Linked DNA regions of Schizosaccharomyces pombe. The protein of the gene in region 1 binds, or shares a complex with, the protein of each later gene. Each region holds a gene or a part of one and is shown in the gene's direction. Other genes may lie near its edges. The genes, in order: qcr7 and cob.

The links.
Region 2: the proteins of qcr7 (region 1) and cob are in contact, whole or in part, in a cryo-EM structure (PDB 8Q1B), measured with the Schizosaccharomyces pombe proteins. Residues at the interface, in NP_588364.1 of Schizosaccharomyces pombe: Lys2 (codon at 2,294), Pro3 (codon at 2,297), Val4 (codon at 2,300), Ser5 (codon at 2,303), Leu6 (codon at 2,306), Ala7 (codon at 2,309), Ile10 (codon at 2,318), Gln11 (codon at 2,321), Thr17 (codon at 2,339), Leu20 (codon at 2,348), Leu21 (codon at 2,351), Ile23 (codon at 2,357), Ser24 (codon at 2,360), Asn25 (codon at 2,363), Tyr27 (codon at 2,369), Val28 (codon at 2,372), Leu30 (codon at 2,378), Ser31 (codon at 2,381), Gly32 (codon at 2,384), Tyr33 (codon at 2,387), Arg34 (codon at 2,390), Tyr36 (codon at 2,396), Tyr40 (codon at 2,408), Asp42 (codon at 2,414), Leu43 (codon at 2,417), Met44 (codon at 2,420), Leu45 (codon at 2,423), Glu46 (codon at 2,426), Glu47 (codon at 2,429), Asn48 (codon at 2,432); in YP_011104932.1 of Schizosaccharomyces pombe: Ser24 (codon at 1,679), Asn25 (codon at 1,682), Lys107 (codon at 1,928), Tyr108 (codon at 1,931), Pro109 (codon at 1,934), Leu210 (codon at 2,237), Val212 (codon at 2,243), Thr213 (codon at 2,246), Ala214 (codon at 2,249), Met216 (codon at 2,255), Asp217 (codon at 2,258), Phe310 (codon at 5,063), Ala312 (codon at 5,069), Ile313 (codon at 5,072), Arg314 (codon at 5,075), Ser317 (codon at 5,084), Phe318 (codon at 5,087), Asn319 (codon at 5,090), Pro320 (codon at 5,093), Phe321 (codon at 5,096), Ile372 (codon at 5,249), Gly374 (codon at 5,255), Asn375 (codon at 5,258), Thr376 (codon at 5,261), Leu377 (codon at 5,264), Ile378 (codon at 5,267), Asp379 (codon at 5,270), Leu380 (codon at 5,273), Asn381 (codon at 5,276), Leu382 (codon at 5,279).

The regions. Positions count from the first base shown.
Region 1 is NC_003421.2:1,886,376-1,890,245, reverse strand, and holds qcr7 (ubiquinol-cytochrome-c reductase complex subunit 6), read left to right. Parts: upstream 1-2,196; 5' UTR 2,197-2,290; coding exon 2,291-2,704; 3' UTR 2,705-3,251; downstream 3,252-3,870. Other genes in the region: inner nuclear membrane protein Ima1, read left to right, coding at 1-1,621; SPOM_SPCC297.06C (uncharacterized protein), read left to right, coding at 3,592-3,870.
Region 2 is NC_088682.1:8,566-14,588, forward strand, and holds cob (apocytochrome b), read left to right. Parts: upstream 1-1,609; coding exon 1,610-2,293; coding exon of another isoform or gene 2,294-4,717; intron 4,718-4,819; coding exon 4,820-5,299; downstream 5,300-6,023. Other genes in the region: cox1 (cytochrome oxidase subunit 1), read left to right, coding at 1-227; cox3 (cytochrome oxidase subunit 3), read left to right, coding at 396-1,205.

The DNA.
Region 1 (3,870 bases):
TGTTGGTCCTTTTTACGCGATACGGGATTTCCCAAGCAGTTCTTCCTTTCAGAGCCCCTTTTGTGAAAAATGTCAAATGAACCAACTGATTGTGAATCGGATGCTTGCTGATTATCTGCCAGACTCATCACATCCAGATTATCAGGCTTATGAGAAGGCATTACCAGAGTATAAAAAATCTATAGAAGAGAAATTTCCCATTGTTTGCTCTGAATGCTATGACTCCGTTCAAGACCAACTTGATGCCAATGATTATGAAGCCAAAAATCAGGTTTTAGGATATTGGCTGCAAAAGTCAAAGGAACAGCTAAACGCAAAAGTCCCCCATCACTATCCAAAAGCTTCTTTTGTTCTTTGGTTACTTCGTGGATTTGGTTTTTCGTTTTTCTATTTGCAATCGATTGTGTGGCATTTGTATCATTCTATGATAATAAGCTTATTACCAGATGGTATTCGTAATTTATTTCTAAAAGCAATCTCTTACTTCCTATTAGATGGATCCTCTAGCAAAATTTTTTACTTTAATTGGCTTGGTTTTTTCGTTGTCTTTTGGAACCCGTATTGGTACAAAATGATGGACAATCCATCTTGGGAGCTTTTTGGGCGGGATCAGTATATCCAATGTCAGGCACTTTATCTTATTATCCGTTTAACTTGCTTGTATCTCCTTTCATGTTATGAGTCGGAAATTTTGAACTTAAGCTCGGATACCAATCTTGAAAGTGATTTTTTACTCCGTCAAATACATGCAGCCTTTTTCTTTGTTACCATTTGTTTTACATGGATTAGCATCTCATGTTTAAAGCCAAGTCCTCCTCCAGAAGTTCATTTGACTGGCGAAATTTTGAAACCACGCAAGAAGCGTCAGGAAAGTACATCTTCTGTGCATCGGATAGGAAAGGAATCGAGTGACAGAAAAGATGGAATTAGTGGGCAGAATAAATTGCAGCAATTTGCGACAATTTCAATTCTGAATAATACCAACGCAACGTCTCATTTGGGAAATCAGTCTGTTCGTGAGAGAGCTCCGGAGGAATCCCCTATGACTTTTCTTCAAAAAAAAATGGCCGCCCTTCCAACATCTAGTCCTGTTCGACCGATGCTTAAACCTACTCTTCAGCTTCAAAATTCTCCTTTATCGAAACTGGTTCCTCAAGAAGTGGGCAACAAAGTAAACGATTCTATTCATACGACGTCTAATCAGCCAAGTAAATTTTCCCTGAACCCTTCCATATCTCTAAAAGGTGATAACGTGATAGAGAAGAATTTACCTTTTTCCGTGTCTACTTTAAAGTCCACTGCAAAGAAAGATACTGGTAAAGCAGGGGATGGTCAAAATCGCGAAATTCAAAATGAGCCAGTGAGCCTTGAAAGTCATTTTAGTAAGTCTTTAGCCCTTCAGAACGATCCAACAGAAGTTATTCAGGTGAAAAACGTTCTTCACCGGAATCGTCGAAATGCAAAGCTTCTCATTGCTTTCACAATTTTGTTCCTCGTTGGGTTAATTTGCGGATGGCGTTTGAATCGTTTTACTATGTTCATTTACTATTTATGCATATTGGTGTTAGCCACATATTATGTTATGAAACACAACTTTTATCCTTTAAGAAAGGTGGCTTGATCTGGTTACTATTTAAAGAAGTGGATGCAAAGTAATATGGAATATATTCTTTTGCAAACCAATCATTCATTAATTTATCCAATTTTGGAATAAATTTCGTTACTAATATTGCCAGAGGCGGTTATGTCGCTATCATTTGTTTAAAGTTTTTCAGCTCCTTTCTGGCAACTCGACATATTCGAGCTAGCGCATTCGCACAAATGGGATCCAATATAAATTTACTTTTTTTTTCCTATTAAAGCTATATAATTAAGTATTTTTCATACTAACGAGTTTTATTTGATAAATTTCATTCGTTTCAATAGGTTAGTACTGAAAGAGAACATGTAACCTGAGCAAACTTCTGGTTCATACGAATACTAGCAATGGTGCATTCCCGAATATATGTTAGACACGTCGTTAAATTAGTTTAGGTTATAAAATCGTTAGAGTTAAACAATAACTTAAGAGAAATGAGCCGAGAATACTAGGATATTCAGATTTTCATTACTTTCTAATTCCGCTCAGGATTCTATGTGCAGGTAACATCAGGTGACCGAAGGATTCATTGGCATACTATAGGGCCATGAGATCTTACCTTCTTCCAATATTCAAAACTAAGAGTTTTATTGATTTCAGTGCAAATTTTGTAGTGACGAAATTTTTTTTTGCTGAAGTGATTGTTTAAGTATGAAACCTGTGTCTCTTGCCAAGTATATTCAAAAATCACCATTTTTGACGAAATTGCTTTTACCCATCTCCAATGCCTATGTGCATTTGTCAGGATACCGTAAATATGGTCTTCGATACGACGATTTGATGTTGGAGGAGAATGACGATACTCAAAAGGCGTTATCTCGTTTGCCTAAGATGGAATCCTACGATCGAGTCTATCGTATTCGCCGTGCCATGCAACTTAGCATTGAGAATAAAATTTTGCCAAAATCTGAATGGACAAAGCCTGAGGAGGATTACCATTACCTCAGACCTGTTTTAGCTGAGGTTATCGCGGAGAGGAAAGAGCGTGAGGCCTTCGACGCTCTCATTGTTAAGAAACCCGAGACTCAAGCCCATGCAACATCTTCTCCTGCTCATGCTCATTAAAAGTTTGCATGTCCTCCTTTAATCCACTTATTCCTCTCATGAAAACCGACAAGAAAATTAAAAGAGTAGTAAACGGATGTGAGAATTTTATTTTCTAAGTAACCCCCAACTCCAATTTCTAAAAAGGAAGACAATTTATGCACGTATCTTATTTCATCGGTTATATCAGTCGACAAAGTACGTGGAAACGAAAGTTTTTATATTGCTGTTTATCTGTACTTTGACTTTACTATGTGTGCGATTAATTTTCTACGCCGCTCTGTTTTTGCTTTGCTCTATTTTAACTACTGGTATATCTCCCATCTCTTTGACCTCTCCTCTCTATGCTTTCAGTTTTCATATTTTAATTGAACAACGATTTTTTCTTATTTTTTATTTTTTGTAGCTGCTTTTTCCTTGACTGTTATCTTTGAAAGAGAAACAATTTTTTTGTTTCTTAGTTTCGCTTTCTGAAGATGATTTTGCAATTATTCTCTCGCTGAATCAATTATAGCTAATGGTTGGTATAACATAAGTTAGTGAACAAAACATTGTAAGGCAAACCAACTAATGTAGTATTTTTTTTAAATCGTGATATCAAATTTTAAACTTGTTAAACAGACAAACTTATTTTGAGAAATTTTATGACAGTTTGGCATTGTATTTATTGATTTAATTAAGCTTACTCCTATTTGACTTTAGGCATACTCTTCCTTGTACGACTTCAAGCTCATGAGCTTTTCACTATCTGAAATGTTGTACCCAGAGTCATAATATATGAACCTCCGATCGACGTAAAGTATTATTGAATTTAATTTTATTTATTTCCGCGTTTGTTTAACTTGTTTGAGGAACTTGAAAAATTACAAGAAAATCATGTACAATTTTGTTCGAAATATTTATTGAATATGCAGGGGAAAATCAATTATAAAGACATTACTCAGAAAGAAATGTTCAATGAAATATTTAAAGAATATGTTAAGGAAGAGAAGCAGATCGATTTGGGTACTTGTGATCAAGATTCTGTACACGACCTCTGGCGACGCTTTGTAAAAAGATGGAATGATGGAAAAATGAAAAGTAAATGGTATTCGTTGGGAAAGAGAATATCTCAACCCTCTTATGCTCGTCTTGTAGGTCCAAGTCGACCAACTTTGGAAAATTTACAAGATCGACGAGAATTGCAG
Region 2 (6,023 bases), on another chromosome or scaffold:
GTTCAGTAATTTCTATTCTTTCATTATTCCTATTTATGTATGTTATGTATGATCAATTTACATCAAATAGAGTGGTTAAAACAAATCCTTATTTAATCCCTAGCTATTTTGATGATAATGTAATCTTCGTAAATGAAAAATTAGGGGTAGCTCAATCAATAGAATGGTTACTACATTCACCAGTACACGAACACGCATTTAATACATTACCTACAAAAAGTATTTAATTTAAAATCTTAACCCCCCTTTTATTTTATAAACTTTATTCCAATTTAAAAATTGGAGAGGGAGATTGAAGGATAATTTAGCTATCCTATTCAAAATTGTATCTTTATAATTTTTTTATTCCTTATATGTGAGAGAACACTATTGAGATAAACTAATTTAGCTTAAACATGAATCTTTCTACTAAATTTCAAGGACATCCTTATCATATTGTAAGTGCGTCACCTTGGCCATTTTTCTTATCTGTAGTATTATTCTTTAACTGTTTAGCAGCTACATTATATTTACATGGATACAAACATTCATCAGTATTCTTTGGAATCAGTTTCTTAGGTTTATTAGCAACTATGTATTTATGGTTTAGAGATATGTCAACTGAAGCTAATATTCATGGTGCACATACAAAAGCAGTAACAAAAGGATTAAAAATAGGATTTATGTTATTCCTAATTTCTGAAACTTTCTTATTTGCTTCTATTTTCTGGGCTTTCTTCCATAGTTCATTATCACCTACTTTTGAATTAGGTGCAGTATGGCCACCAGTAGGAATAGCAGATAAAACAATAGATCCATTAGAAGTCCCTCTATTAAATACAGTAATTTTATTAACTTCTGGTGCTAGTTTAACTTATGCTCATTATTCATTAATTGCTAGAAATAGAGAAAATGCTTTAAAAGGTTTATATATGACTATCGCTTTATCATTCTTATTCTTAGGAGGTCAAGCTTATGAATACTGGAATGCTCCATTCACTATTTCAGATTCTGTTTATGGTGCTAGTTTCTATTTTGCTACTGGTCTTCATGGTATTCATATTATTGTTGGTACAATTCTACTTCTTGTTGCTACTTATAATATTTATACTTACCACTTAACTAATACTCATCATAATGGATTTGAATGTGGTATTTATTATTGGCATTTCTGTGATGTTGTTTGGTTATTCCTTTATTTAACTATTTATATTTGGGGTAGCTAAGGCTTACTTCAATTTTTCCCCCCTTTTTATATCTTATTTCTCTAAAATAGTCTGTATAGCTCAATGGTAGAGCATCTCACTTCTAATGAGTCGATCTAAGTTCGATTCTTAGTACAGATTCCACACCTAGAAGGTGTGTATTTTTTTTTTAGCTAATTTAACTCAATTGGTAGAGTGCGTACCTTGTAAGTACGAAGTTAGAGGTTCAATTCCTCTAATTAGCAATCCCTTTCCCATATTTTTGGTATAAGAGGATCTCAGATAGTATCTAACCTATCTTATCTTTTATTATCCAATATCCTTTTAATAAGATTTGGATCTTTTTTCCCAATTCCTTCAAATTTTTGACTATTTATCGATAATGATTGTTCAATTTAGAAGGGATAATTTCAAATTTAATTTTTATGAAAATTTTAAAATCTAATCCTTTTTTAGCTTTGGCTAATAATTATATGATTGATGCTCCTGAACCTTCAAATATTTCATACTTCTGGAATTTTGGTTCTCTTTTAGCTTGTGTATTAGTTATTCAAATTGTAACTGGTATACTTTTAGCTTGTTTTTATATTCCTAATATGGATTTAGCTTTCCTTTCAGTTGAAAGAATTGTTAGAGATGTAAATTATGGTTTCTTATTAAGAGCTTTCCATGCAAATGGTGCTAGTTTCTTCTTTATCTTCTTATACTTACACATAGGTAGAGGTTTATATTATGGTTCTTATAAATATCCAAGAACAATGACATGGAATATTGGTGTTATTATCTTCTTATTAACTATTATTACTGCCTTTTTAGGTTACTGTTTACCAGCTAATCAAATGTCATTCTGGGGTGCAACTGTTATTACTAATTTATTATCAGCTGTTCCTTTCATTGGTGATGATTTAGTTCATCTATTATGGGGTGGATTTAGTGTATCTAATCCTACTTTAAATAGATTCTTCTCACTTCACTATTTAATGCCTTTTGTTATTGCTGCTTTATCAGTAATGCATTTAATTGCTCTACATACTAATGGTTCATCAAATCCATTAGGTGTAACAGCTAATATGGACAGAATCCCAATGAACCCGTATTATCTGATAAAATTGCGCCGTTGTGGTATATATGTGTACCCTCATAGAGAAAGGGATATCTTGTGTGTAAAGATATGAACAATACACTTAGGTAGCTGGGGAAACCCAATGCCGAACAGAGCATGTGTACAGAAGGTCCTTCCTGTAACGAAACAGATAAGTTCAGATGGATCAGTTCAAATAGATACGGTTAGAGCTGTATTGCCCGAATTCCAATTCCCATCTCACCCTCAGATAGGTGATTGTCTTAGCTGAATAGAGACATTCTTCTCTAGATCTTTGGTTGGCTTTTATGACCAAGGATACACACCAGGAGAAGAGAGTTGTACCAATAGTACAATTAAGGGAATGAGTGGAAAACCTACGTCTATCAACTCAAACATATATACAACTACGGGTCCCGCTAAGGTCAGTAATGACTATGCGGTCAGAGATCCTGGAGTAGCTGTTGATCATTTTGATCAATACGGTCCTTTGAAAGAGGGAAGAAGTTTGAACTCTGCAAAGATTTCAACACAGTGAAGTGGATCAGCTACATTAAAGTCTTCCAATAGATCAATATTTAATATTGGTTTAGGATACATTAATACTTTTTTAGGGGTATCTAATGTAAGAGGATTTAGTACAGGATCAGGACGATCAAAAAATGTACTAAATAAACTAGACGATTTATCTAAACGATCAAAAAATTATCCTAATCTTGTAATTGATAGAAATCTCTACAAAGATTTCCTATTAAATCGAGATATGTTCCTTATTGCTTATAATAAATTAAAATCTAATCCTGGTATGATGACTCCTGGTCTTAAACCGGATACTTTAGATGGAATGTCTATAGATGTTATTGATAAAATTATCCAAAGCCTTAAATCTGAAGAATTTAACTTCACTCCTGGTAGACGTATCTTAATTGATAAAGCCAGTGGTGGAAAAAGACCATTAACAATTGGTAGTCCTCGAGACAAATTAGTTCAAGAAATTCTTAGAATAGTCCTTGAGGCTATCTATGAACCATTATTTAATACTGCTTCTCATGGATTTAGACCAGGTCGAAGTTGTCATTCTGCTCTTAGATCTATTTTCACTAATTTTAAAGGTTGTACTTGGTGGATTGAAGGAGATATTAAAGCTTGTTTTGATTCTATCCCTCATGATAAATTAATTGCTCTATTATCTTCTAAAATTAAAGATCAACGATTTATTCAATTAATTCGTAAAGCTTTAAATGCTGGATATCTAACTGAAAATAGATATAAATACGATATTGTTGGAACTCCTCAAGGTTCTATAGTTAGTCCTATCTTAGCAAATATCTACCTTCATCAATTGGATGAATTTATTGAAAACCTAAAATCAGAATTTGATTACAAAGGTCCAATAGCTCGTAAAAGAACTTCTGAATCTAGACATCTTCATTATCTAATGGCAAAAGCCAAAAGAGAAAATGCTGATTCAAAAACAATTAGAAAAATAGCGATTGAAATGCGTAATGTTCCTAATAAGATACATGGTATTCAATCTAATAAACTAATGTATGTTCGATACGCTGATGATTGGATAGTTGCAGTTAATGGAAGTTATACTCAAACTAAAGAGATTTTAGCTAAAATTACCTGTTTCTGTTCATCAATTGGACTAACAGTATCTCCAACTAAGACTAAAATAACTAATTCATATACGGATAAAATACTTTTCCTTGGTACTAATATTAGCCATTCTAAAAATGTTACCTTTAGTAGACATTTTGGTATACTTCAAAGAAATTCTGGGTTTATTTTACTTTCTGCTCCTATGGATCGAATTGCAAAAAAACTTAGAGAAACTGGACTTATGCTTAATCATAAAGGTAGATCTGTTATTAGATGGTTACCTCTTGATGTACGACAAATTATTGGTTTAGCGAATTCTATTATTAGAGGTTACGATAATTATTATTCTTTTGTTCATAATAGAGGAAGATTTGCTACTTACGTTTACTTCATAATTAAAGACTGTGTTCTTCGAACATTAGCTCATAAATTATCATTAGGTACTAGAATGAAAGTAATTAAAAAATTTGGTCCTGACCTTTCTATCTATGATTACAACTCTAGAGATGAAAATAATAAACCAAAATTAATTACCCAATTATTTAAACCTTCTTGGAAAGTTAATGTTTGGGGATTTAAATCTGACAAAGTTAAATTGAACATTAGAACACTTTATGCTTCTCACTTATCAATGGCTAACTTAGAAAATCTACAGTGTGCTGCTTGTCAAAGTACTTATAAAGTGGAAATGCATCATGTTAGACAGATGAAAAATCTTAAACCAATCAAAGGTACTTTAGATTACTTAATGGCAAAAGCAAATAGAAAACAAATTCCATTATGTAGATCTTGTCACATGAAACTTCATGCTAATAAGTTAACTCTTAATGAGGATAAAAAAGTTTAGATATCTTAAATGTAGTGGAGAGCCGTATAATTACGAAAGTATCCCGTACGGTTCGGTGACGAGCCGTGTCAACCCTGCAAAGGGAATGCGTCTTAGTTCAATGATTTGATAACAATATTTATCTTCTTAATCGGTATAAATTATATGGCATTCTATAATCCATATGGATTTATGGAACCAGATTGTGCTTTACCAGCGGATCCTCTAAAAACTCCAATGTCTATTGTTCCAGAATGGTATTTATTACCTTTCTATGCTATTTTAAGAGCTATACCTAACTTCCAATTAGGAGTTATAGCAATGTTATTATCAATCTTAGTATTACTATTATTACCATTATTAGATTTCTCAGCTATTAGAGGTAATAGTTTTAACCCATTTGGTAAATTCTTCTTCTGGACATTTGTTGCCGATTTTGTAATTCTTGCATGGATTGGTGGATCACATCCAGAAAACGTCTTTATCACAATTGGTGCTATTGCTACAATCTTCTATTTTAGCTACTTCTTTATTTTAATACCAGTATATACTATATTAGGTAATACATTAATTGATTTAAATTTAAGCTCAATTAAACGATAATCTCTTCCCCCTTTACACTATATAAAAATATCTTATTTAAACAGTATAATATTTAATAAAAAGCTCATCAAAAGGTATGAATAAAAGTTTTTTACATAGATTAGGTAATAAAACATTCTTTGGGTGTTAGTAGTGATTAGAAGAAGTTGATCTTTTAGGGATTTATTTTTATCAGAATTTTTACGGTCAATTTTTATCTAATTAAATGTGAATAAGTTTGCGATTTAATGTAATTGGTTAACATCTCTGACTCATGATCAGTGTATTAAGGTTCAAGTCCTTAGGTCGCACTTTATGCTCTGATAACTTAACGGTTAAAGTGCAGTATTGAAGCTGCTGAGATATTGGTTCGATTCCATTTCAGAGCAAATAAAAGAATCTGTAGCTTAAAGTAAAGTATCGCCTTGTCACGGTGATGGATGCCCACTCGTACTGGGTCAGATTCGTTTAAGCAGATATAAGTCAATTGGCAGACCTTCTGATTTCCACTTAGATTATGTTCGTTCGAATCGGACTATCTGCATTAAATAAGCCTAAATGCTGGAATTTGGTAGACAGAACAAACTTAAGATTTGTCGCTTTCGAGCGTGTTGGTTCGAGTCCAACTTTAGGTATAACTAAAAAAAAAAAAGAGTATAGTTTAATTGGTAAAACTTCTGATTCCAAATTAGACATTGTTCGTTCAAGTCGGACTGCTCTTGATTTTTTATTCTTTGATCTGTTA